Linked DNA regions of Oryctolagus cuniculus. The protein of the gene in region 4 interacts with the protein of the main gene of each other region in a pairwise test. Links are inferred from orthologs where the notes say so. Each region holds a gene or a part of one and is shown on either strand. Other genes may lie near its edges.

Evidence for each region.
Region 1: the proteins of FAM161A (region 4) and CBY2 interact in binary tests that used the Homo sapiens proteins (3 or more experiments, as listed by UniProt). The two-hybrid records come from large-scale screens. The link is inferred for Oryctolagus cuniculus from reciprocal best matches to the Homo sapiens genes FAM161A and CBY2.
Region 2: the proteins of FAM161A (region 4) and LMNA interact in binary tests that used the Homo sapiens proteins (3 or more experiments, as listed by UniProt). The link is inferred for Oryctolagus cuniculus from reciprocal best matches to the Homo sapiens genes FAM161A and LMNA.
Region 3: the proteins of FAM161A (region 4) and CADPS interact in a two-hybrid assay, tested with the Homo sapiens proteins (2 studies listed by BioGRID). The two-hybrid records come from large-scale screens. The link is inferred for Oryctolagus cuniculus from reciprocal best matches to the Homo sapiens genes FAM161A and CADPS.
Region 5: the proteins of FAM161A (region 4) and CARD9 interact in binary tests that used the Homo sapiens proteins (3 or more experiments, as listed by UniProt). The two-hybrid records come from large-scale screens. The link is inferred for Oryctolagus cuniculus from reciprocal best matches to the Homo sapiens genes FAM161A and CARD9.
Region 6: the proteins of FAM161A (region 4) and VPS52 interact in binary tests that used the Homo sapiens proteins (3 or more experiments, as listed by UniProt). The link is inferred for Oryctolagus cuniculus from reciprocal best matches to the Homo sapiens genes FAM161A and VPS52.
Region 7: the proteins of FAM161A (region 4) and DHX32 interact in binary tests that used the Homo sapiens proteins (3 or more experiments, as listed by UniProt). The two-hybrid records come from large-scale screens. The link is inferred for Oryctolagus cuniculus from reciprocal best matches to the Homo sapiens genes FAM161A and DHX32.

The regions. Positions count from the first base shown.
Region 1 is NC_091440.1:64,764,219-64,768,402, reverse strand, and holds the start of CBY2 (protein chibby homolog 2), read right to left. Parts: upstream 2,801-4,184; 5' UTR 2,700-2,800; coding exon 2,625-2,699; intron 2,347-2,624; coding exon 2,266-2,346; intron 1,258-2,265; exon of another isoform or gene 1,243-1,257; coding exon of another isoform or gene 1,129-1,242; intron 1-1,128.
Region 2 is NC_091438.1:42,571,722-42,575,221, forward strand, and holds part of LMNA (lamin), read right to left. Parts: intron 2,655-3,500; coding exon 2,529-2,654; intron 2,413-2,528; coding exon 2,242-2,412; intron 2,137-2,241; coding exon 2,011-2,136; intron 1,783-2,010; coding exon 1,562-1,782; intron 1,463-1,561; coding exon 1,243-1,462; intron 825-1,242; coding exon 717-824; intron 585-716; coding exon 465-584; intron 193-464; coding exon 103-192; intron 1-102.
Region 3 is NC_091441.1:87,195,785-87,199,284, reverse strand, and holds part of CADPS (calcium-dependent secretion activator 1), read right to left. Parts: intron 3,068-3,500; coding exon 2,834-3,067; intron 1-2,833.
Region 4 is NC_091433.1:140,941,939-140,945,942, reverse strand, and holds the start of FAM161A (protein FAM161A), read right to left. Parts: upstream 2,801-4,004; 5' UTR 2,328-2,800; coding exon 2,145-2,327; intron 1-2,144. UniProt on the Homo sapiens protein: Involved in ciliogenesis.
Region 5 is NC_091432.1:236,667,521-236,670,301, reverse strand, and holds part of CARD9 (caspase recruitment domain-containing protein 9), read right to left. Parts: intron 1,437-2,781; coding exon 1,257-1,436; intron 1,151-1,256; coding exon 1,007-1,150; coding exon of another isoform or gene 942-1,006; coding exon 816-941; intron 1-815. UniProt on the Homo sapiens protein: Adapter protein that plays a key role in innate immune response against fungi by forming signaling complexes downstream of C-type lectin receptors.
Region 6 is NC_091436.1:135,860,366-135,863,865, forward strand, and holds part of VPS52 (vacuolar protein sorting-associated protein 52 homolog), read left to right. Parts: coding exon 1-27; intron 28-283; coding exon 284-379; intron 380-465; coding exon 466-573; intron 574-729; coding exon 730-795; intron 796-3,500. UniProt on the Homo sapiens protein: Acts as a component of the GARP complex that is involved in retrograde transport from early and late endosomes to the trans-Golgi network (TGN).
Region 7 is NC_091446.1:5,808,245-5,811,744, reverse strand, and holds part of DHX32 (putative pre-mRNA-splicing factor ATP-dependent RNA helicase DHX32), read right to left. Parts: intron 1,244-3,500; coding exon 998-1,243; intron 1-997.

The DNA.
Region 1 (4,184 bases), on a different chromosome or scaffold from region 4:
AAGACTTATAGAGCTAAGAGGTGACCTGGTGCAGCCAAGTGAGTATGGATATTGACCTGGTTCAAGATCCTGACTCCAACCCTACTATTACCTGAAGGGCTCTAGGAATTCCTGGTTCCCATACCTAGAAAATCTTACATTTGCGTGTCTTTGTGCTCAAAACATGATATGATCAATAGATCAATATTCAGTCAACACTTCTCCCCCTCTTTTCTCCTCTGCCAATGCTTACCTCCAATTGTGTGCACCATCTCATGTTGGGAGAGTTAGCAAACACATCATCTTTCTCACAGCACTAGTGGTGGTTTGCCCACTTCCTTCCTGCAGATGACTAGTCTACAGTATCCTGGAAGGTGCCTTCAACCTGCTTCCTGGTTGTGCTTCTTTGTCATGTGTACCCCTGAGGCCACATCTGTCCACATGGGGTACATGTGCCCAGATAATTGCTGAACATTTTCCTCACTGTACACCCACCCTGTCTTCCAACTGCCCAACAGCTGTACCAGGTCCTATAGCACAGAAAGTGGGTGGCCCCAGGACAAGCCAGGGACATAGTCTCAAGCCTCCTTTTCTCCTCCTTGATTGCTAGGATGTTTCTGGGAGTGGATAGGGGAAGTTGTGCTGGATATAGATAGAAGAATCTCTCCAATCTTTCTATCATGTGACCATCACTTATTTAAATCCTATTCCCACCCTCACTGTCACCTCCACCCCACCCTGGATTGGCATCTTCTACCCATCCTTTAACAATGGAAAGATTGAATTACACAGGCTATGAAGAATCAAAGGAGCAACACCGACCATCAAAAGGAATAGTGTCCAATGGAATTCCCTGTATACAACAGAAAGAATTGGACCTAGAAAGGTTCCTGTAGCTTATCATCATCCTGTCAAATGATCAGCAATGCTATATTCTGGCTAAGTCTCATGAGCTGAAACAGATAGAAAGTGTCTGTTACTTGCAGAGTTTTAAGGATAATGTGAAAACAAACATCCAGAATATTTTCTTGTCCTCTATTTGTGCCTCCTGCTGAACATACATGCCTAGATTGTTCAGTCACATACATAGAATGCCCACTGGTGACCCACCCTCCTACATGACTCTGGACAGAGCTGTCAGATAGTTACCTCTGCATTGGATCTCTCCATTCTACATTTCAACCCCTCTGACTGCATGCCCATGGTCTTCCAAAGGGGCCTTGAGTGACTCTGGGAGAAGCAAGGCCATGCCCTTTGTGACATAACAGCAGTAGAAACAATCCAATCAAGAGAACCCCACCAAGGAAACAGCCACTTGCAGGAGAAGACCTTAGAATCTCCAGCCTGTTGGCTGGTGCCGCAGCTCACTAGGCTAATCCTCCGCCTCGCGGCGCCGGCACACCAAGTTCTAGTCCTGGTAGGGGTGCTGGATTCTGTCCCGGTTGCCCCTCTTCCAGGCCAGCTCTCTGCTGTGGCCCGGGAGTGCAGTGGAGGATGGCCCAAGTGCTTGGCTCCCTGCACCCCACAGGAGACCAGGAGAAGCACCTGGCTCCTGCCATCGGATCAGCGCGGTGCGCTGGCCACAGCGCGCCAGCCACGGCGGCCATTGGAGAGTGAACCAACGGCAAAGGAAGACCTTTCTCTCTGTCTCTCTCACTGTCCACTCTGCCTGTAAAAAAAAAAAAAAAAAAAAAAAAAAAAAAAAAAAAAAAAAAATCCAGCCTGTCAGAACTGCACCTACACATTGTCCTAAAAAAACAAACAAGCAAAACAAACAAAACCATGCACGTATCCTTTATGCTCTCTCTTTGGTACACAGCAGGGCTTAATTCTATTGACATCTCCAAATGATACCTTAGCATCCAGTCAATGTGCTAGGTTTTCTCCTCATGGACTCATTCGTAAGCATTTGACCCCAAGCCCCAGGTCTACTTGTCCCCCTAGAAATCCAGAGTGCTAATACATCACCAAGCACCAAAGATCTCCCTTTGAGGATGAATATTTGATTGTTTTTTGTTTTTTTTTGTTTTCAGTCTAGCATAGAAACTTGAAATGTTAGGGTGGCCAGGTCATCTAATTCACACTCCTCGTATGAGAGAAGAGGAACCCAAGGCCCACAGAGGCCATGTTTCCTCCCCCAGGCACAGAATGGGTGGGTGGTCAAATGCACAACTAGAATCGGAGGCCTTGACTCTTCAGCTTACTCCACATCAGGCTGGAGTTTTGGAAGAGGAGTGTTATTCTGCCTTAAACGGGCAGATTTCATCCTTCTGTGATTAATCCTACCTGAGGCAGAACCACATTGATTGGGATTTCTAGGCTTTCAGATCTGGTATCTCGTTTTCTTGTAAAATTTGGCCTCGAGTGCTGTAGAAAAGAGAAAAGAGGAAAATTTCTGTTGCCCAACCCACCCTCTGGGCCTCCATTGCTCATCTGACAATTATAGGACTTTCTACTCATTTATTTGCTTCTTGTCAATTAGGTACATTATGAAAATCTGCATCTGCAAATGTGTGTGGACAATCTCTGATATTTTATTAAACAAATTCATACAGATACTATAGCTGATGTCTTTGAAGCACTGATTGCTAATATCTACATCCTTGTGTAAGACTACTGTTTCCCTCCCAAGCAAAAAGCCATACCAATGTGAGGTGCCAGGTATAGGTCCTGTGCAGAAGTTGGTCACCAAAACACTCAGAACATTCCAGAGGTGACATCACAAAACAATATGGTGTTCTGCAGGGCTCATGGTTTCTCTCTGAGCGTCACAGGTGGGAACGAAGCATCTGGCAGGTAGGAAGAGTTTTGCAGCATCTGTGACCACGTGGCTAAGTAGGGTCAGTGTGACACACAATACCCCAAACACCAGGCCCTGATTGGTCATCCCCACTGCCAGGCCGTCCTCTCTCCAGAAGGGGCATTATCTACTTGTAGTTGTATTGCTCAAGAAGAAATACCAACTGAATTCCCAGACCAAAGGAGGAAAGAGGGACTCAGGAGCTTTGTGGCACCACTTGATTCCCCAGGGCTGTCACCAGTGGACGCCCTGAAACCATCGACCTGGAGCGAGTGCCAGATCCCAGAGGTTAGGTGCTCAGTCCCACCAAGCTGCCTTCACCTCAGATGCCACTTGTACCATTGACTGATCAGCTATAAACCAGGAGTTCCATGACCCCTTCTTTGGCTTCAATAATTTGCAAGAATGGCTCACAGAACTCAAGAAAACACTTTACTTATGATGACCATTTTCTTATAAGGGGCACAACTCAGGAACACCAAATAGACGGGATGCACAGGGAAGGTATTGGGCATTGAGGGTGGTGTGGAGTGGCCGTGCCAGCCCTGGGCAGCCACTCTCCCAGCACGTCCACGTGTCCTCCCACCAGGAAACTCTCTGAACCCCACTGTTGAGGTTTCATTACACAGGCGTGGTTGTTTAAATCTCCAGCCCCTCCCCCCTTCCTAGAGGTAGGGGTTGGGGGGTGGTGATGAGAGTTTCCTCTTTTTAATCACATGGTCAGTTTTTCTGGCGGCAGCCCCCAGCCTTCAAGGGTTGCCTCATTAGCTGAAACTCAGGTGTGTTCCAAAGGGGCTCATTATGAATAACAAAAGACACAGAGGAAATGCCAAGGATTTTAGGAGCTCTGTGCCAGGAATCAAGGACAAAAGCAGAGTTTATTTTCTTATTATACCACGGAGGTAACAGCATCAAGACCACAATGCCCCATGCCCTGGCCTCACTTCGGGCAAATCATTCACCACTAGAGGCTGTTCATGGGAGCCTTTTCTTGTACCGTAAGCCAGTGGCACACCCCAACCCTACGTGCAGTAAGAAGGGAATGACGGACCAGAGGCAGCAGATCCTGAGACACCAGCCAGAACCACCTTTTTGAGTCCCCCACACCCAAATTTACAAGAAAGCTTTGCTTTAAGACCTAACATGCGGCCGGCGCCGTGGATCACTTGGCTAGTCCTCCACCTGCGGCGCCGGCACACCGGGTTCTAGTCCCCGTTGGGGCGCCAGTTCTGTCCCGGTTGCTTCTCTTACAGTCCAGCTCTCTGCTGTGGCCCAGGAGTGCAGTGGAGGATGGCCCAAGTGCTTGGGCCCTGCACCCCATGGGAGACCAGGAGAAGCACCTGGCTCCTGGCTTTGGATCAGCGAAGCGCCGGCCGTAGCGGCCATTTGGGGGTGAACCAACGGC
Region 2 (3,500 bases), on a different chromosome or scaffold from region 4:
GCCAGTGAAGTTCCAAAACATTCTTTAATGAAAAGATTTTTGGGCGTGAGGGGCTGCCCCCAGGTCTGGCCAGGCTTGGCCTCAGCGGCGGCTGCCACTCACATGGTGATGATGGAGCAGGTCATCTCCATCCTCGTCGTCGTCGTCCTCCACCACAGTCACCGAGCGCACCAGCTTGCGCATGGCCACCTCCTGCCAGGGACACAGACCTGAGGGTGAGGGGCCACACGGGGCCGGCGGGGGGGTGGGGGCGGCGTGCGGCACACCTACCCACGGGGACCGCCAGCAGCCGGCCTGCTGCTGACCCTGCCCTCTGTGGGGCCGGCGCTAAGGAACTTGCTCCCACCCCAGGGAGGCACAACCACCACCCCCACCCCCACCCCCACCCCCCGTAGGAGACCGGCAAAGTGACCGTCCGACTGTGGCCACTAGGGGGAGCCCTGCCCAGCCCGCAGCACACTCACTTCCCCAGTGGAATTGATGAGAGCCGTGCGCAGGCTGTTTCCACAGCCCCAAGTGTTCTGCGCCTTCCACACCAGGTCGGTAGGGGGGCTGTGGGTGGCCCCGGCTCCAGCAGCCCAGATCTGGAGAAAAGGAAGCGGGAAAGGGCACTCACTCCGTGCTACTGTCCTCAGGCCCGTCCTCCACACACACACACACACACACACACACCCCGCCCCAGGCTACCGCAGGGCGCCAAGCGCCCTGCCACTCACCGTCACCACCTGCCCGGCCTTCAGGGTGAACTTGGGCGGGAAGCGGTAAGTCAGCAAGGGGTCATCTCCGTTTTGGCGCTTGATCTGCCAGTTGCCCATGGACTGGTCCTGCCAGGCAGGGAGGGAAGGGGGAGAAGGGGAGGTGTATCCTGGTTCTTTGGGTTAATCTCACCCGCTGCCGGCACTCAGAGGCTCCTGGTCCCTCTACCCCATTACTGCCTTGCCCCCCCCCCCTACTAAAAAACAGCCGCCACCATGGACTTCATGGTGCGCCATCTTTCACCTGGGGGCTATCACTCATGTCCATTTTACAGATGAGCAGACTGATCCCCCGAGAGGCGACATAACTTGTCCCAGGTTTCCCAGGCAGGACTGGAACCAGGGAGCGGGAGACATACACACTGGCCCTGGCTGCCCGCAGAGGGAATGAAGGAAGGGTCCTCCCGGGTTCCCTCCGCCCTTCCTCTTGCAGTATCCCCTCAGGCCCCGCCCAGGATGGGGTGTGGTGGGGAAGGGGCGGGGCTACCTCATTGGACTTGTTGCGCAGCCGCACAAACTTGCCCTCCTCATCCACCTCCTCCACTGCCACGCGCCCGCTGGTGCGCGCGTGCTGCGAGAAGCTGCTGCGGCTCTCGGCCGACTCCAGCTTCCGCTTCTTGGTGATGCTGCCCCCGCCCTGCGTCTGGGACGAGTGCGAAGAGGCACGGCCCCTGCGCTGCGAGGTGGGACTGGGGGACAGGCGTAGCCTGGGGAGGGGAGGAGACAGAGTTAGGGGAAGGGGTCTCATGCAGGCCCGGCGCAGGCCAGGGCCTATTGCTGGAGCTCCCGGGTGCTCCCCAGCCCACCTCTCCTCCTCGCCCTCCAGGAGCTTGCGGTAGGCATGGATCTCCATGTCCAGGGCCAGCTTGATGTCCAGCAGCTCCTGGTACTCGTCCAGCTGCTGCTGCATCCTTGCCCGCATCTCGGCCATCTCCCGCTCTTTCTCCGCCAGCAGCCGCCGGCTGGTGTCCCGCTCCCGGGCCAGCGAGTCCTCCAGGTCCCGCAGCTTCGCTTCCTTGGCTGCCAGCTGAGATGGGGAGAGGCGGGGGTGTGTGAGCTCCCGAGGGGAAAATCAACACGCCCTAGACGTGCAGGTGCAGTGAGACAAAGCGGACAGGACACTTGCTTCCAAATCCTGGGCCCCAGCTCATTCTCTCGGCCTGCAGTCCTGGAGGCGTGCTCATCTCTCCCCTCCCCTCCGCCCTCCAGACCTCACCCTGGGTGCCCCCCCCATCCGTGCTGTCCCCAGAGGCACCTGCTTCTGCAGCTGGCTGAGCTGGGCCGAGAGGCTGTCGATGCGGATGCGGGACTGCTGCAGCTCCTCGTGCGCGGCCCCCACCAGGTTGCTGTTCCGCTCAGCAGACTGCCTGGCGTTGTCCAGCTGCGGGGAAGGCCGGGGGGGCGGGGGGAGTTTAGGAGGGCGGGGCCTGAGGACGGCATTGCTGGGGCGGCCTCAGATCCCGGGGTGGGGTGTGGGGGGGGGCACCTTGGCGGAGTAGGTCTTCTCCAGCTCCTTCTTGTATTGCTCCACCTGGTCCTCGTGCTGGGCCCGCAGTTCCTGCAGCGCGTCGGCCAGCCGGCTCTCAAACTCGCGCTGCTTCCCGTTGTCGATCTCCACCAGCCGGGTCTCGTGGCGCCGCTTGGTCTCACGCAGCTCCTGGAAGGGGTGGGAACAAGGACACGGAACCCATAAATCGGCCCCCGTTCCTTACAGCTCGGGCCTGGCCCGGCCCCCTGGCCCCGGCATCTCCAACCCCCATGCGCAAGCCCCACCTCGCTGTAGATGTTCTTCTGGAAGTCCAGCTCCTCCTTCAGGGTCTGCAGCCGGTTCTCGGCGTCCACTCGCCGCAGCATCTCGTCCTGCAGCTGCTTCTTGGCCTCCCCCAGGGCTGCCTCGAGCTAAGAGGAAGTGGGCAGAGGGGTCACGGGATGTGCCAGCTGCAGCGATGCCGAGCCCCAGGCCGTTCCCAGCGGGTCCCTTCCATGCATAGGGACAGGTCCAGGGGGAAGCGAGGCCTTGGGGTGCCCGGGGAGGTTAGGATGGGGATGACTTGGGTAGCTCTTGTGCTAAGAAATGAAAGCCACAGCCCTCCCACCCTCGTAAGACCTCCAAACTGTGGCACAAGATAGCAGTTGCTAGGAGGGCGGTGTGTACAGAGCACAGCGGGGAAGGAACCAGTGTGGCTGGAGTGGTGGAAGAAGGGGTCTGGGAGGCTTGATAGGGCAGCCTGGGGAGGGGCCAAGACAGCACGTGCAAAGGCACGGGGCTACGAAGGCACACACGTGTTCTAGGGCCTTCAGCTGATGGATGGGGCGGTGAAGTGATGGGTCATACAGAGATCCCTTTTTCAAAATTAATTAGATTTTTTATTTATTTGCGGGAAGAGAGATCAGCCATCTGCTGTTTCACTCCCCAAATGCCCACAACAGCCAAGCCTGGGGGAGGCTGAAGCCAGGGGCGGAGAACTGCATCTGGGTCTCCCATGTGGGAGCCATCCCTGCTGCCTCCTGTTCGCATTAGCAGGAAGCTGGAATAGGGAGCAGAGCCGGGACTCGAACCTGCTCAGCCACACCCGTGCCTTCTGCAGAGCTGTCTTTATCTGCCACGGAAAGAACCTCTGAGAAGCTCATACTGGGCAGCACCCTGCTCAGATGTTTGTTCTAGAAAGCACGGGCTGGGGGAAGGGTGGAGCTGGCGGCAGAAGATCCAGGAGGCCAGCTGAGGTTTTGTCATCGTCCGCTGGC
Region 3 (3,500 bases), on a different chromosome or scaffold from region 4:
AGGGGTTGTCCTTTCACTGACAGCTTTTACACTAGGAAAAGCCATGGAAGTGGAAAGAAATGGAAGGAGCCATGGACATAGCACAATTTTTGGAATGTAAAAGATCTGACCACCAGTCCTGATTGTACATCTTCATAGCTGTGGAATGGTCTGCAGGTTTCTTAACCCCCCTGAAACCGTTTTCACATCTGCAGTTATCTCAAAAGACTGTTGTGAGGACTCACTGAGTTAATGATAGTAAAACACCTGGCCCACAGAGGCATTCTACAGATCCTGTTGCTGTCAATCACAGTTGCGCCTGCTCAAGGCCTTGTCACTCAGATCCTGGACTCCAGTTCCCTTGCTGCAAAGTTAACCAGTCTCTGGTGTCCCTTCCAACCATGCAACTGTCATCACACCAAACCCTCCCATGGCTTGTACCAACCTGCAAGTTGAAATCTCAGTCTGCTATGATGACAATTCTCTCTCCACCTTCCCCACTCTCTTTGCCTCTCCCTCTCAAGGCCCAAACACATTCACAAATAGATGTGTAATAGTGTTACTGCCAGCTTTACTATGATGTGCAATTTAGTGTTTTAATTAAACAGGATTTGGGAGCCCTAGGGCATTTCATTCCGTACTTGTATTTACAAGCCAAAGTCCTCTGAATCATGCACACATAAGACCATTGTGGGGCCTCGTCTACCGATATTTCAGATAATCAGTGATATAATACCTAACAAGCAATCAAGAATTAGAACATTACATATTTAAAAGCTACATGAAAATCAATAAACCATTTCCCCTCCTTTCTGCAGAAAGACAAGAGGCAGTTGAGAATACATTGTCACCTCTAATTAGCAATAATCAAATTCAAAGACACCTGAGAAAAAGTGCTCAGTACCTTAGTTGGCAGCATTAAAAAAAGAGAAGGATTCTGTGAAATTACACTGGTGATTTTTTTCACACCCCAAGGTCTCTAAATTTAATTGCACACTGCCTTTTTTTTTTTTTTTGACTGCAGAATACATGAGTATCTCAATTCTGAACTGAGCACAGAAAAACAAATTACCTGGACTTAATTCATAGCAATCCTTAATGATGTTCCAGAAAATTAATTTAGTCTTTACCCATTCTAATTAAATGTGCAGAAATGTGACCTATTCTCTTGGTCTCCCCTAATCCTGGGTCAGCATAAAAGCCTTGTGGATTTTGAACTTTAATAACTTATGAGTGGTTCATAAATTCTGGAGTACATAGTAAATATCTGGGTCACTTATGCACACAATTCAGGGCTATATTTCTGACAATTTTGCAGACATGTATTTTACATGTCACATAACTAGCCCAGTTCAGTTGCACAAGTCAGCTATGTTTAGCACATTTATCAAGCTGTTTGACCATCATGATCAATCAGCTTGAGCGATTTTTATCTTTGCCAATAAGACCCCTGATGCCCATTTCTGTCTCATGCCCTGCAACACTAATCTACTTCCTATTTCTGTGGATTTGCCTTCACAACCTTTCTAATCAACAAAATTATACAGGAGATAGTCTCTTGTGTCTGCCTCCTTTCACAAGCATATATTTCTGAGGGTTACCCATGTCTACTAGGGGACCATTTGTCTGAACTGCAGTGTGTGGTAAGTACGTATCATAGATTGTCTAACCATTCACCAGTGAATGGACATTTAGACTGTCCTAATTTTTAGCTATCAGAACAAACTCTGCTATAAATATTGGCAATCAACTCTTTGCAGGGGACAATGCTTTCATTTCTACTCTGCAGGTAGCTAGCAGTAGAGTTCCAGGATCATATCACAGTTTGATGTTTAACGTTTTGAGAAGATGCTAACCTATTTTTGCAAAATGGTTCTAACAATAGATATCCCTACTACCTAGAGACTCTGGTTGGGCAATTCTGGGTAGGGTCTAGGCATCTGTATACTGAACCAACTTACTGGGCAACTCTGATGTAGGTATCAGAATCACCCCATAGAGTATATATGAAGAACAAACGAATGAAGAGAAATTATGAGGAATTTATTAACATGTGGCGCATTCTGCCATAATAGTAGCCTGATAGTGTCCTTTATTTTTGAAAAAAATTTTTATTTATTCATTTTTCTTTATTTGAAAGACAGAATGAGAGATTGAGATCTTCCATCCACTGGTTCACTCTCCAAATGCCTACAATAGCTGAAGCTTGGCCAGGCCAAAGCTAAGGGCCAGGAACTCCAACCAGGTCTTCCATGTGGGTGGAAGGATCCCCAGTACTTAGGCCATCAGCTTCTGCCTCCCTAGTGCATTCAAAGGAAGCTGGTTCGGAAGTGGAGGTGGGACTTGACCCAGGCACTCTAGACATGAGATGCATGGGCCCCAAGCAGAGGGTACTCTGCACCACAATGACTGCCCCAAGAGCGGGTTCTTGCTTTGATGTTCAGACAAGAGATTCTGTACTGCACAGCCATCAAGAATGATGATGGAAAGAAAAGTTACACTTAAACTTGAGTTAATGTTTGATTGCCCCTCTTACAACTGCAACAAAGTTTGCCAAAACCTGCAACTTTCGAAACTGCCTTACTACTTTACAAAAATCCTTGGATACTATGTAAGCCACAGAAAGGAATGAAAGATTAAATTTAGCAGATGATTTTTTTGAAGAGTATATTTTCCTAGAAAAATGTGGGCTCCTGGAGATGGGGCCTCACTTGCTGATTAGCTGAGCTATGCTTCCCAAGCTGCTATTTTAATAACTCCCCCTGGGGTGGAAGGTGGAAGAGAGGCTAACCACCGTATCACTCATGTCCTGCTTGCTGGGCCAGGCAACATCCAAGAGTTGAGGGCTTTTTACCTCCAAGGAGAAAGACAGCACGACGTCTGACTTGGAGAGCTGGTTCTCGCTCTCCTCGCCCATGTCAATGAGGGAGGCGTTGTGGCTGCGCTTGAGCTTCTGCAGTTTGAACTCCCCGCCTTTGGACACAGGCATGCTCTCCAGGTTGGCCATGAGCAGGTTGACGGACGACTTTAGCTCTTCGATGTACATGTTTTCCATTTCTTTGGATACAAACTTGGGAAATTTGCGTTCCTTAAGAAGAGAACAGAAAAGCATGAGCGGAAGAGTAACCAGAGACCTACACAGAAGATTTTCATACACAGCCCAGAGTCAGAATCACATCTACCACCAGACACTGTGGCACTGTGTCAGAAAAATGCTGTCTTGTGGAGGCACCTGCCTGCCTTCTTGTTAATTAGAATTTCCAACATGTGCATATACACACACACACACACACATACACACACACACATTCCTAAACAAAGAGTAAGAATCAAAGGTTTTCATTACAGTTCTAGAATTTTTCCAGTTTTCTCCAGCAAATTTGATTTGTGGAAAGAAAAATGGGGCGATATTTTGCAAATTTGATTTCAGTTCAAACTGTTTTTCTTTTTAGCAAACTGCAGTCAGTTGTGTTTTAGTTATGGAAACAGAAAGACACCCTATTTCTGGATATCTATAGTTT
Region 4 (4,004 bases):
ACCCACATAGCAGGACCTATAAACTGATATCTCCAAACTAGATTCAAGCACCATACCTAAGTGCCCAAACAAGGTCAAAGAATCACGTAAGGGTATATGTATACAGGAGGGGGTTATGGTGCATGGAAGTGATGGGGTAGACTGGCTTTGGCAAAACAAAAGGACTAACAGAAGCTTATTGTGATAGTTCTGGTGGGTATGGTATCTGCATTTACATGTTATATTTGACAAAACTGAAACAAATTAACCCTGAAAATTTGAGATAGAGACTCTAACCAATCTGAAGGCAAATATCTGACTCCTACACTCTCTTCCCTGTCTTTTCAGCACTTTTTCCTCCAGCCCCAGAACTTTCTGCCCTGTGGGACTTTCTGTGGTAGCTTATCAAGGTTTACTTCTGGGATCTGTCAGGTACGATGGCCTCAGAACAGTGTCAAACTCATAAGACTTAGTTTTCTTTTTTGGGTAGGTCCCCATCCTTTTGAAACTAGCTCATTGTACAAACTAATCTCTCCTAAGGTAATATTAGTTTGTAGTATACATTTTAGCTTAACAGGCCCTCTGGAAGTGTAATTACCACTACAGATAAATGACTGACTCCCCTACCACAGCAGCCAAATCACACTGTCATCTTAGGGCAAGTTGTTCAAATGGCAGTCCCATGGGCAGTTGTTTTAATTTGGGGTGGGTGCTTGGCACAGTGGTTAAGATACTGCTTGCATCCTGTATCAGAGTGCCTAGGTTCAAGTCCTGACTCCGCTTCCAATTCTAGCTCCCTGCTAATACATGACCTGAGAGGCAGCAGGTGATGGTTCTGATAGTACTTATGTACCTGCTATCCACGTGAGAGATCCAAATGGAGTTCCCAATTACCAGTATCAACCTGGCCCAGCCATATCTACTGCAGGCTTTTGGGGGACCAACATACGAAGGATCCCTCTTTGTCTCTGTCTCTAGCTCTCTGCCTTTTAAATAAATAAATTGAAAAAATTAAATAACTATTATTTATATAAATTGTGCTTTCAATAAAACATACATTATCTTATTTGGATCTTATATTAGCTAGGTCAGCTGGGAAAGAGAGACAATTATTCTTTTTGTTCAGAGAAAGAAACTGAGATTTTAAGGAAGTTATGTGCTAACATCACCCAGCACATGGCAGAGAATGGATTCGACTTCAGGATTCCAAATTCTTTTCCTCCATTCAAAGATTTTTTTCCTCCATCACTGTGCCTCCTTTGTTGCCCACTGAAAATTGTGTGAGGGGTGGGGGTGGGGGGAGCTTTATTACAGCAAAGCTGGTCCTCGGATGCTTCCCCTGGTTCATGTTCAGGGTCTCCAGCTGCCTTACTTAGGGATAACCATGAGTTGTTACCCTGTTGGAGAGATATTGGCCATACAAAATGCTGCTACAAAATTTTTCATTAATAGCTTTAGAGTACAGATAACAATTCCAAAACATGCAGTTATTTATTTCTACTAGACCCAGGCCATGACAGTTAGCTTATGAGACGCTTTGGACAAATTAAAGAACGCTGAACCTGGTGGACTTGCGAGCAGGACACATGTGGCTCTGAAAACTGATCAACGAATAGGCTGTTTCCTCCCACCCTGAGGAGTCATTTGGGAAGCACTGGAATCTCAGTAATTTGCTTCTCTGGCTATTTATCTGTACGTGTGTCGATTTACCCACCATCTTGATGTTTTAAACACCCGTCAGGTAACACTAAAGTACAATTGATAGCACAGCTGATGCACCTGTTTCTTCAGGGATTATCCACCAAGGGATAGATTAATTTTCCTCGTTAAGTAAACAAAAAAACGCGAATACTGGCTGTTCATTCCCAACAGATACTTAAAGAGTAGGGAATAAAATTCTGTACTTTGAACTGTCTAGAAAATGGAGTGACATGAATGCCCTCCAAGAAATTTTTATAGTAATCTCTTCGGTGAAAATTAAAAGGCCTTCCCACGCCTCCGTGTCGAGTATTTTCTGTGGGGGCAGAGAAAGAGGTGGGCCGGGGACCGGGTCGGGAGGATCTGCACGCGGCACCGCGTCTCCCAGCCGGAAATCAGCCTGGCGGGGACCGGGACCAGCCCTTAGCCCGCGCCCAGTCCCATCCCCGGTCGTGCCCCCGCTGTACCGCCACTCGCTCAGGCCGCACAACTTTGTAGTCGTCTTCATCCTCCGAGGCCGCCGCCGCTGCCGTCAGGGAAGTGAAGGGGTCTTCGCGTTCGTACTGGGCGACCCGCGCTCCGGTGTTGGGATTTACCGGGAGTTGGAGACTGGCGGCCGCCAGCCTGGCCTCTCGGTGTGAGGCGGCCATCACCCGCCTCCGAGGCCGGAGCGCCAGCGCTGGCCCGGGGCGGGTAAGCTGGCGCGGCCCGGGAGACCCGGCGGCTCCTCGCTTACAGCCGGCGGTTACTAGGGGCGCGGTAACTAGGGACGCTACAGGGGCTGCGAGGGATCAAAAGACTAAAAAGCTTCTCGGGCTGCCTGGGACCCGAGTCCGTCACTCAACTGGAGAATGGGAGTCAGAACTAAATCTGTTTGCTGGATTAGAAGATTGCGGACGGAAAAGGGCACCTCTTCCCCTCCGGTCACCTAAACGCAGACTTCTGACACTATCATAACACACCCGTTTTGTGAAGACAAGAGCGCATTTTTATTAACTGGAATACCAGGTTGGGAGGGGATGATGGCGGAGGAGAGTAGCATCTTATTGTGAAGTGACCTCAGAAGAATGTCAAGATTTGTATCCCAATACCAAACATGGCTGCCTCAGAGCAAGAGAAGGGGAAGGATTGACCTGAGCAGGAATCAGCCAATCAGAAGGAGGCTGCTAGGTGACTCTCGCGCGATTTTTTTGACCTGACCAATAAAAAGCCCAGGGTAGGGTGGCGCCTGGCCCGCCCACCAATGACGATACCCGTACAGAACGCGATGCTCGCTTTGGAGTCGCAGGCCTATGAGTGGCGGGGACTGAGGGCGCCAGTGTCCGACGCGCCATAGACACACCTTCATTCCACCTCACCCCCGCCACCTTCCCACTGGGCACTGGGGCGCCTCCACTGGCTCCTTCCCTTCACCACGTGGCTGCAAGAGGCCAAGCCAGAGTGTCACATGCTGCCTCAGCCCCTCCTTGGTGAGACCAAGGCCGCCGCCCCTTTCCTCGCCCTATCATTTGGATTCCTTCGCCCCTGGCCAAGTCTGCACTATTTCCCGTTCTGTTAAGGGCCTTTGTCACTCCAAAGTGTGGTCCCGCTTTCTGGCGAGTTCTAAGAAACACCGGGAGGAGCTGTCACACAAAGCAACTTATCTGGGGGCCTTCTCCGAGGCTCAATATGTTAATCCTCCGCCTGCGGCCAGGGGCGCCGGTTCTAGTTCCAGCTGCTGCTCTTCCAGTCCAGCTCTCTGCTGTGGCCTGGGAAGGCAGTGGAGGATGGCCCAGGTGCGTGCGTCCCTGCAGCCGCAAGAGAGACCCGGAAGAGGCTCCTGGCTTCGGATGGGCGCGGCTCCGGCCACTGCGGCCATTTGGGGGGTGAACCAACAGATGGAAGACCTTTCTGTCTCTACTCTAACTCTACCTCTCAAATAAATGAATAAAATCTTAAACAAAACAAAGTAACTTACCTGCAGCAAATGAGGAAACCACGAAGAATCATTTCCAAAGTCTAACTCCACAAGCAGGTAACTTTTATTTAGGGGGAAATGATTATTTAAGAGGGGAAGTTTTTATTTACTTTTTAAAAGTTTTTTAAAAATTTATTTGAAAGCCAAAGTTAGAGAGAGGAAGACAAAGACAGATCTTCGTCCGCAGGTTCAATGGCCCAAATGGCCACATTGGCTAGGGCTGCACCACGCCTAAACCAGCAATCTGGAATGCCATCTCCGTCTCCCCTGTTGTTTTTTAGGATTCATGTATTTATTTGAAAGGCAGTTAGAGAAGGAGAGATTGATCTTCCATCTGCTAGTTTACACCCCAAATGGCCATAACCGCCAA
Region 5 (2,781 bases), on a different chromosome or scaffold from region 4:
GACGGAGCCCCTGGGGCTGGCCTCAGCCTGGCCCAGCCCCGGGTGTTGCAGGCAGTGGGGGCGAACCAGATGGAAGAGCTGCCACTGCCCGCAAATAAGCAAAGCTTAAGAACTGGCACTGTGGCGCAGCGGTTAAAGCCTGCAGGGCGGCATCCCACATGGGCGCCGGTTCTTGTCCCGGCTGCTCCACTTGCGATCCAGCTCTGTGATGTGGCCTGGGAAAGCAGTGGAGGATGGACCAAGGCCTTGGGCCCTGCACCCGCGTGGGAGACCTGGAGGAGGCTCCTGGCTTCGGATCAATGCAGCTCTGGCCATTGCGGCCATCTGGGCAGTGAACCAGCAGATGGAAGACCTCTCTACCTCTCTCTCTCTCTCTACCTCTCAAAGAGATAAAATCTCAAAAACAAGGAGCATGATGGTCTGTGCTGTGTGAGACGCCCGCCTGTCCCCACTGGGGGCCGGCCAGCCGTGGGACACCGACACACAGAGGGAACAGGGCCACGGGCAGGGGCAGGGCAGAGTCTGGGCCCATCAGCGCCCCCGCGGCCGGGACTTGATCCATTTTTGTCCCTATTGGGCCACCCAGAGGCAGCCAGAGGTCCCGCCTACCAGCCCTGCCGCTGCCTGCCTCCGAGTCCCGGCCGCTCTTCTTCTTTGTGTGTGTGTGTGTGTGTGTGCAAGTCCTCCTCCGCCCCCAGGGCCCCCCCCCCAGGTGCTGGTTTCTGTGTTAGAGCAGCTCCCTGAGGGTGCATCGTGGCCGAGGGGCGCACCGAGGGAGACCCCGAGAGCGGGGAGGGCACTGGGCCCCCACACACCTGGTCCCGCTCCAGGGCCACCTCCTCCATCTGCTGCAGCACGGCCTCCATGCGCTCCTTGTAGAGCCGGGCGTCCTTGCGCAGGGCCTGGCACTGCAGGTCCAACACCTCCTTCTCCTCCGCGCACTGTGGGGACGGCCGCTCAGCGCCCCGCGGGGAGGGCGCCCGGCCCCCAGGGCCCCGCCTCCTACCCGGGCGCGGAGGGCCTCGGCCTGGCGCAGCTCCTTGCGCAGGGAGAAGACGGTGCCGGCCTGCTCCTGGTGGTCACGCAGCACCTGCCGCCACTCCTCCTCCAGCACCTGGACGTAGGGGCTGCTCCGCTCCCGCGTCCCCTGCTGGACACAGAGCGGCCGTCCCGCGCGGCTCCGCCCCCGCCCGCCCCCGCCCGCCCGGCGCCCGGCGCCCACCCGCCCCCGCCCGCCCGGCGCCCGGCGCCCCCACCTGCGCCGCGGCCTCCAGGTCCTGCACGCGCGCCTCCAGCTGGGCCTTCTGCTGCTGCAGCTCCCACAGCAGCTCCTGGCTCGGCCGCTGCTCCATGGCGCGCCGCAGCCGCAGCGTGTGCTTGCGCTCCACCGTGCAGTCCTCCTCCGCCCGCAGGAGGCTGTGCCGGAGCCCGTCCACCTGCACGCGGCTGCCGGTCAGCCCGCCCCCGGGCCAGCAGCCGGGCCCCAGGCCTGCGTTCCCCACCCCCGGGCCGGGCAGAAGGGTCCCCAGCATGGCTTGCGGCCCCCGCCGTCCCCCAAGCCAGGCAGTGGGGCAACCAGCCTGTGGCCCTCGACCCCTGCCCACCAGGCCCACCCCAGGCCGGGCAGCGGGGTCCTAGGCCTGCATTCCCCACCCCCCAGACTGGGCAACGGGGTCCCATGCCTGGTTCATAGCCCCTGTCCCCCCAAGTCCACCCAGGCCAGGCAGTGGGGTCCCAGGCCTGCAGCCCCCACCCCCCAGGCCAGGCAGTGGGGTCCCAGGCCCGGCTCCTGGCCCCTGCCCCCAAGGCCCACCCCAAGCCGGGCAGTGGGGCACCCAGCCTGTGGCCCTCGACCCCTGCCCACCAGGCCCACCCCAGGCCGGGCAGCGGGGTCCTAGGCCTGCAGCCCCCACCCCCACGCCAGGCAGTGGGGTCCCAGGCCTGCAGCCCCCACCCCCAGGCCAGGCAGTGGGGTTCCAGGCCCGGCTCCTGACCCCTGCCCCCCAGGCCCACCCCAGGCCAGGCAGTGGGGTCCCAGGCCTGCAGCCCCCACCCCCACGCCAGGCAGTGGGGTCCCAGGCCTGCAGCCCCCACCCCCAGGCCAGGCAGTGGGGTCCCAGGCCCGGCTCCTGGCCCCTGCCCCCAAGGCCCACCCCAGGCCGGGCAATTTGGTCCCAGGCCCACCCCAGGCTGGACAGTGGGGTCCCAGGCCCACCCCAGGCCAGGCAGTGGGGTCCCAGGCCCGGCTCCTGGCCCCTGCCTCCAGGCCCACCCCAGGCCGGGCAGTGGGGTCCCAGGCCCGGCTCCTGGCCCCTGCCCCCCAGGCCCACCCCAGGCCGGGCAGTGGGGTCCCAGGCCCACCCCAGGCTGGACAATGGGGTCCCAGGCCCACCCCAGGCCAGGCAGTGGGGTCCCAGGCCCGGCTCCTGGCCCCTGCCTCCAGGCCCACCCCAGGCCGGGCAGTGGGGTCCCAGGCCCGGCTCCTGGCCCCTGCCCCCCAGGCCCACCCCAGGCCAGGCAGTGGGGTCCCAGGCCCGGCTCCTGGCCCCTGCCTCCAGGCCCACCCCAGGCCGGGAAGTGGGGTCCCAGGCCCGGCTCCTGGCCCCTGCCTCCAGGCCCACCCCAGGCGGGGCAGTGGGGTCCGAGGCCCGGCTCCTGGCCCCTGCCCCCCAGGCCCACCCCAGGCGGGGCAGTGGGGTCCCAGGCCCACCCCAGGCTGGACAATGGGGTCCCAGGCCCACCCCAGGCCGGGCAGTGGGGTCCCAGGCCCGGCTCCTGACC
Region 6 (3,500 bases), on a different chromosome or scaffold from region 4:
GGCGGGCTGGACACTCGGCCCCACTACGTGAGAAGGGGCAGGGGTAACCAAGGGCTTCCTGAAGACAGGGCTCCCAGCTGCACCGAGGGGCTGGCCAAGGTCACACTTGTGGTTTGGGCCACACTGTGAGAGGCAGTCTAGGTGTATGGTATAACTCACCCTGGGTTGGTCGGAGGGAGTAGAGGCGGGAGTCGCGTGGAGGGTGGTTGGCCAAGGGAGTTGGGAGTTGGCGTTGACTGGACCAGGAGGGTGGTGTGATTTTCTTCCCGCCTCTTGCTCCTAGATCACACGCCGGTATGCCGAGTTCTCCTCTGCTCTTGTCAGCATCAACCAGACAATTCCCAATGAGCGGACCATGCAGCTGCTGGGACAACTACAGGTGAGGGCAGGCCTGCTGCGGGCGGCCGTGAGGAGGGGCGGGGGCCCTTGCTTCCCCTTGTCACCGCCTCCTGTCCGTGCTTGCAGGTGGAGGTGGAGAATTTTGTCCTGCGGGTGGCAGCTGAGTTCTCGTCACGGAAGGAGCAGCTGGTGTTTCTGATCAACAACTACGACATGATGCTGGGCGTGCTGATGGTAACAGACGCGGTTTCCCCACGGCGCTCTGTCAGTCCCGCGAGGGCAGAGAGTTTTGTTCAGTGTCAGCTTTTGAGTCAGGCAGAGCCTGGCCGTGTCCAGTAAGTAGAGGACTGCTGTGCCCTGACGTGGCGTTCCGCGCCTGTGTTCCCTCAGGAGCGGGCTGCAGACGACAGCAAGGAGGTGGAGAGCTTCCAGCAGCTGCTCAATGCGCGGACTCAGGTAGGAGGGGCGGGGCGTGAGGGGCCTCCGGGACACAGCTCTTAGTTCACCACATGCTGTCGTTGGTATATTAATTTTTTAAAAAAATGTTTGTTTTTGTTTGAAAGGCAGAGTTGTAGAGAGAGGTGAGATAGAGGTAGAGAGAGAGAGAGAGATCTTCCGTCTGCTGGCTCACTCCCCAGATGGCTACAGTTCCCAAGGACAGGCAGGCCAAACCTAGGAGCCAGGAGCTTCTTCCAGGTCTCCCACAAGGGTGCCAGAGGCTCAAGGACTTGGCCGTCTTCTGCTGCTTTCCCAGGCCATAGCAGGGAGTTGGATCAGAAGGGAGCAGCCAGGATTTAACTGGAGCCTGTATGGGATGGTGGCTTAACCCACCTGCCACAACACCAGCCCAATTAATTTTTAAGTGATCTGAACACCTGTGGTCCTACTGTACAAGCCAAGAACTCGCATCTTGACAAAAACCAACATCAAACTGTGAAGTCCTGCCCGGCCACTGTGCCTCTCATGCACCAGCACTGATTGACCTAAATGTTATGTTTGTCATGTTCTTGCTTTTCAGAATTTAAGTATGCCAAAACCATGATTGGTTCTGTTTTTCAGTGTTGTGAAAACAGAATCATGGGATTTTTTTCATATAGAATTTGTGTAATATTGTCACAATCCCGCATGTGGACTCTAGCTCACTCTCTGTCATTGCCATGTCACCTTACATGTGTGAACATGAATTTCCCCCGTAAGTGGGTGTTAGGATTGCTTCCAGTTGTTTGTTTCTGGGAACATTGTTTTATGAACAATCTTAGATATTGATAAGCTTTATCAAAAGTTTCTCTTGGAGACAGCGTTTGGCTTAGCAGTTAAGACAGTGGTTAAGAGGCCTCCATCCCACATTGGAGTACTGGGCTGAGTTCTCAGTTCCAGCTCTTGACGCCAGCTTCCTGCTAATGTCGCTCTCAGGAAGCAGCAGTGATGGCACAGGTAATTGGCTTCTTACCATCCACCTGAAAGACCTGAGCCAAGTTCCTGGCTCCCAGTGCTGGCCTAGCACCAGTGTTGCAGGCATTTGGGGCGTGAACCAATGAATGGAAGCTTGCTCTCCGTCTCTCTGTATCTGCCTCTCAAACTAATTACATTTTTTAAAGATTTATTTATTTGAAAGGCAGAGCAACAGAGACAGGAGGGGGGTCTTCCATCTGCTGGCTTACTTTCCAAATGACTGCAACAGCAAGGTGTGGGCCAGGCCAAAGCCAGGAGCCAGGAGCCAGGAACTCAACCCTAGTCTCCCACATAGGTGGCAGGGGTGAGGTCCTTGGGTCATCATCTGCTGCCTTCTCAGGGGTATTAGCAGGGAGCTGAATCAGAAATGGAGCATCAGGGACTGAAATTGGCACGCTGGGATGGGATGTCAGTGTCAGACGCAGCAGCGTAGCCCTCTGTGCCACAATGCTGTTCCCCTTTTTTGGTTTGTTCATTTTTAATTTTCCTCTTCTTTTTTAAAAATTTAATTATTTTTCTTTGAAAATTCTAATTAAAATTTTTTTTTTCAATTTATTTGAAGGGCAAAGAGAGAGAGGCCCAGACAGAGCTCTCCCATCTGTGAGTTCACTCCCCAGATGCCCACAGTAGCCTGGGTTGGGTCAAAGACAGGGGTGTGGAACTCAATCTGGGCTTCCCACCTGGCTGGCAGGGACCCCAGTACTGGAGCCACCACCTGCCGCCCCCCAGTCTGCGTTAGCAGGGAGGTGGAATCGGAAGTGCAGCTGGGCCTTGAACCCCAGGCGCTCCCAGTATGGGATTCGGGTGTCACAGGCCTGTCTGAAATGCTGAGCCAAACATCAACCCCAAATTCAACTTTTTATTGTGGAAAATTTCAAATAGGGTGAGCCCGAGGTACCATCACTGATCTCCCCACCAGTAACAATGTACAATTTTGTTTTGTGTGCAGCGTTACTCATTCTCTTCCCAGAACACCCTCCCCCAGTTATTCTGAATGAAATCTTACGCATCATTATCACTACAGCTGAATCTGTGTTTTATAAAACACAATACATTATCAGACTTTATAATTTTTAATTATCTCATTTTAAATAGCTAGTATGCAAATGTCTTCAGTTACCTCATGTTTTATATGGTTCAAATGAGGATTGATATAGGGTCCATACGTGTCTTTTTACAAAAGATTGGTTTATTTGAAAGGCAGAGTGATAGAGAGAGAGAGAGAGAGAGAGAGAGAGAACTGCCATCCACTGGTTCACTCTTCAAAAGGCCACCAGGGGCTGTGCTGTGGTGCAGTAGATTAATCCTCCTGTGGCGCTGGCATCCCATATGGTCGCGAATTTTAGTCTCGGCTGCTCCTCTTCTGATCCAGCTCTCTGCTGTGGCCTGGAAAGTCCTTGAAGATGGCCCCTGTACCTGCATGGGAGACCCAGAAGAAGCTCCTGGCTCCTGGCTTTGGATTAGTGCAGCTTTGGTCATTGCAGCCCTTTAGAGAGTGAACCAGCAGATGGAAGACCTTTCTCTATCTCTCCCTCTCACTGTATGTAACTCTACCTCTCAAATAAATAAATAAAAATCTTAAAAAAAAAAAAAAAAAGCCGCCAAAAGACAGGCCTGGGCCAGACTGAAGTGAGGAACCCCACCTGGATCTCCCACATGAGTTGCAGGGACTCAAATACTTGGGCCCTCCTCTGCTGCCTTCCCAGGTG
Region 7 (3,500 bases), on a different chromosome or scaffold from region 4:
CCCGCCAGGCGACACGCTCACACAGGCCCTGGGCTTGCACTGGGCCCCCCCACGCACGCTTGCGTGACCATCAGTGTGGTGTGGTCCCTCCCAAGTCTCGCTGACATGCACTGTGACCTCAGCGGTCTCGCCCCCCTCACAAGCCCAGTGCTTCTCCGGGCATTGCAGCCACACAGAGACTGCACCGGGAACTCAGGGTGACTGAGGGGCAGTGAGGCTCTGGGCGCCCTGACCGTGGACAGAAGCAACAGGACCAACCCTCACTGTCGCCAAGGCAACCTTCACAGTCGCTGGGACCGCTACGTCCCAGCACGACGGGGACACTGAGGAGGCCCATGGTCCCTGGGAGGGGAAATCCACTCGACGTCGAACGCAGTAACCAGACCAATATTCAGGAGGCTCAAATGCTCAAACGCCATGGCTCACGAGGTCCCAGTGTCTTTAGAATTTGGGATATCTTATTTTCATTTTTTTTGGGTAGTTTATTTAAAAGTAGTAAAAAAAATTAAAAAGATTTAGGATGAAAATATTCTCATGTCAATTAAAAGCTAAAATTTGCTAACATTAAAGTCAGCGCACTTGAAACTTGTTCTGGTAAATTCCCTCGGGCAGGATTTTACTCACTTTGCTCCAGGGCCACCAGAGTCATCCAGCAGATACACACAGAGGCACACGGCACTCAGCCAGGAGGCAGGTCATTCGCTCTGCTGGGCCCTGGCCTGGGCAGGCAGCGACGAGGAGGCGTCGCCTCTGCGCGTCTGCGGCTGTGTCTGTGCCCGCAACTCTCCCCTCTGGCATCTCAGCTGGGTTAGTTTCTTTCCGACCACCCCCTGCTCACGAAAGCTGCAGGAATCCTTCCCCGCAGGCGTGGCCCCACGTTCCGAGCACCTCTGGGTCACACATTGCACCTTCACCTTCCAGTCAACGAAAGGCTGGGACCCGAGGAACTGGTGCTTAGGAACCATCCGTGATTAATAGCTGACGCGGTCATAATTACCTTCCTTCTTTCCACACCCACATCAATAACGAATCTGACGGTGTTGCTCCAGATCAAAGATTCGCCAGAGCTGGTGGTCAGCACCACTCTCCTCTGAGTGGCCTGGCAGCTTCTCTCCGCCTCGTCGGCTGGCTTGAACAGCGTACACTTCTCTTTCGGGTACAGAGGAACCACCACCAGTTCTCCAAGATCTGGGGTCAAGTGAGAGCCTTCCTGACACACAATTTCATAGGCTTTTTCAATGTCCTATGGCAACAAATAAATAAATAAATAAACAGCATCATCCATGAGAAATAAGTATAATACAACTCCCCTCCTTAAAAAAAAAAGTCTGAATTAACTACAAGTGTAGGCAACACTGTATAATGTAGATAGGGGAAAGAAATGCTGTTGCCAACATATATACATCTGTTTCCTTTTTTTTTTTTTAAGGTTTATTTATTTGAAAGGCAGAGTGATGGACACCCACACAGAGCAAGAGAGAGAGCGCACATCTTTAAATAAGGAAAGGAGACATAACTGGAAGAGAAAATTTCCTTGGAGAAGTCAAACACAATTTATTAGCAACTTCACTGCCTTTACCAAAGCCGTCTGCCTCTTGTGAGATGTGCTGCTTTGCCTCTGTGTGTCTGCCCTGCTCTGCTTCCAGCGTGATGCAACTTCACGTACCCACTGCCAGTGGCAGGTAAACAAAAATCTTCTCACGTCGATGATACATCACTTTTTTGAAGTTTCATTTACTTGGAAGGCAGAGCGACAGAGAGAAGTAAGGAGAGATCTCCCACCCACTGGTTCACTCCAGTTGCCTGCTGGGGAGGCCGAAGCCAGGAGCAAGGAGCTCCATCTGTGGGTGACAGCGTTACCTGCTGGCTCCGGCTTCCTGAGAATGCACGCCCTGGGAGGCAGCAGTGACGGCTCGAGGACTTGGGCCCTGCGTGGGAGACCCGGAGGAAGCTCCTGGCTCCTGGCTTCAGATCAGCGCAGCTCCAGCTGTTGCAGCCAACTAGGGAGTGAACCAGCCAATGGAAGACCTCTCTCTCTGCCTCTCCTCTCTGTGTAACACTGACTTTCAAATAAATAAATAAATCTTTAAAAAAAAGTTTCCCTGCCAAGTAGGTTAGAGAGAAACTACGATTTGCCACAACACTACGTACAAGTAATAGGGACAAGGGTGAGACATTTTAGACAATATTCTAGACAGTATTTTACTATCTTTCAAATCATAGGTTTTTTTTTTTTTAATCTTACATAAAATAGAAGGGACCTAATGTAATTCTTACTCCCTTTAAAATTTCCCAAATATATACCTTACTAGGGGCTAACAGACTCCTATGGTAGCCTCATTCATACAGTCATTAGAGGTCATTAAGAATCTGAGTAAAAAGATGGCCTCCCACGACTGTTACAGCTGTGGGTTTTTTTTTAACTTGACAGAGTTCCCATTCACTGTTTATTCCCCCAAATGACTGCTCAGTCCAGGTCTCGCAACCGCTGAGCCATCAGCACTGCCTTCCAGAGCCTACATCAGCAAGAGGCGGGGCCAGGGGCCGAGGGTGGGCATCGAACCCAGGGCTCCGCAGTGGGGCGCTCACCCGCTGCGCCCAGCGCTCGCCCCACTTCAGACGTGGAACTGAATTCCCGTCTCCACCTCCCCTCCTGTGCACCACGGCCTGGGAACGCGCAGGCCCCCTCAGGTTCCGGAGGTGGGGCGAGCTGTTCTCTGGGACCTCAGGGGGCGGGCAGCGGCCGCGGCGCCAGGCTCCCCGTCAGCAGTCACGCAGGCCTTCCCCCACTCTCACGTCCCTGGCTGCGAGTCGCGGGTTTGCGTGGCGCACATGCACAGTGCTTCACAGGCCAGGAGCACGGCTGCTGCTCATAACGGACGCAGACTTGCCACTCTGCCTGCATTTTTACAGGCCGGTCACTTCACTTTGCATCGCTACTATATGACCGAAGCTTAGAAATGAGAAGGAAAAGGAAAGCGCGTGGGCTGCCACTCCTGGTCCCGGCTGCTGTTTAGCCTCACGAGCACGCGCACGCCCTCCGCGCACGCCCTCCGCGGCAGCTGCACCTGGCAGAGCTCACAGGTGTTCTCAGCCCCACAGAAGTGCATTCCTCAAGTCTCAGGTTCCGAAGTCTCTGTGCCGTTCACTGTGGTCACACTAAACTTACAGCACTCGGCCACCACAGGCCCGCCTCCTCGATTCTGTTAGGAGGTTTATTTCCCAAAATCCACTTCGCAGTTTCTGTTCACTCTGCCTTGAAGGACCAGCGCTCCTCCCGGGGGAGGGGGTAGAAGCGGGCGTCTGCGTCCTCGGCCAGCGTTCCCGACTCCCGGAGTTTCCTGTTCTGATCCTGCCACTCTCCCCTTCCTTGGGTGTCAGCAGCTACACTGACCACCTCTCTCTCTTCACATCTTCTGTCTCCTTAATCACTCCAGGACTCCTCTCAGGGCTTGCCTGAGGATTCCGAGTCGTGCAGGAAGAGGGGACGACAATCGACT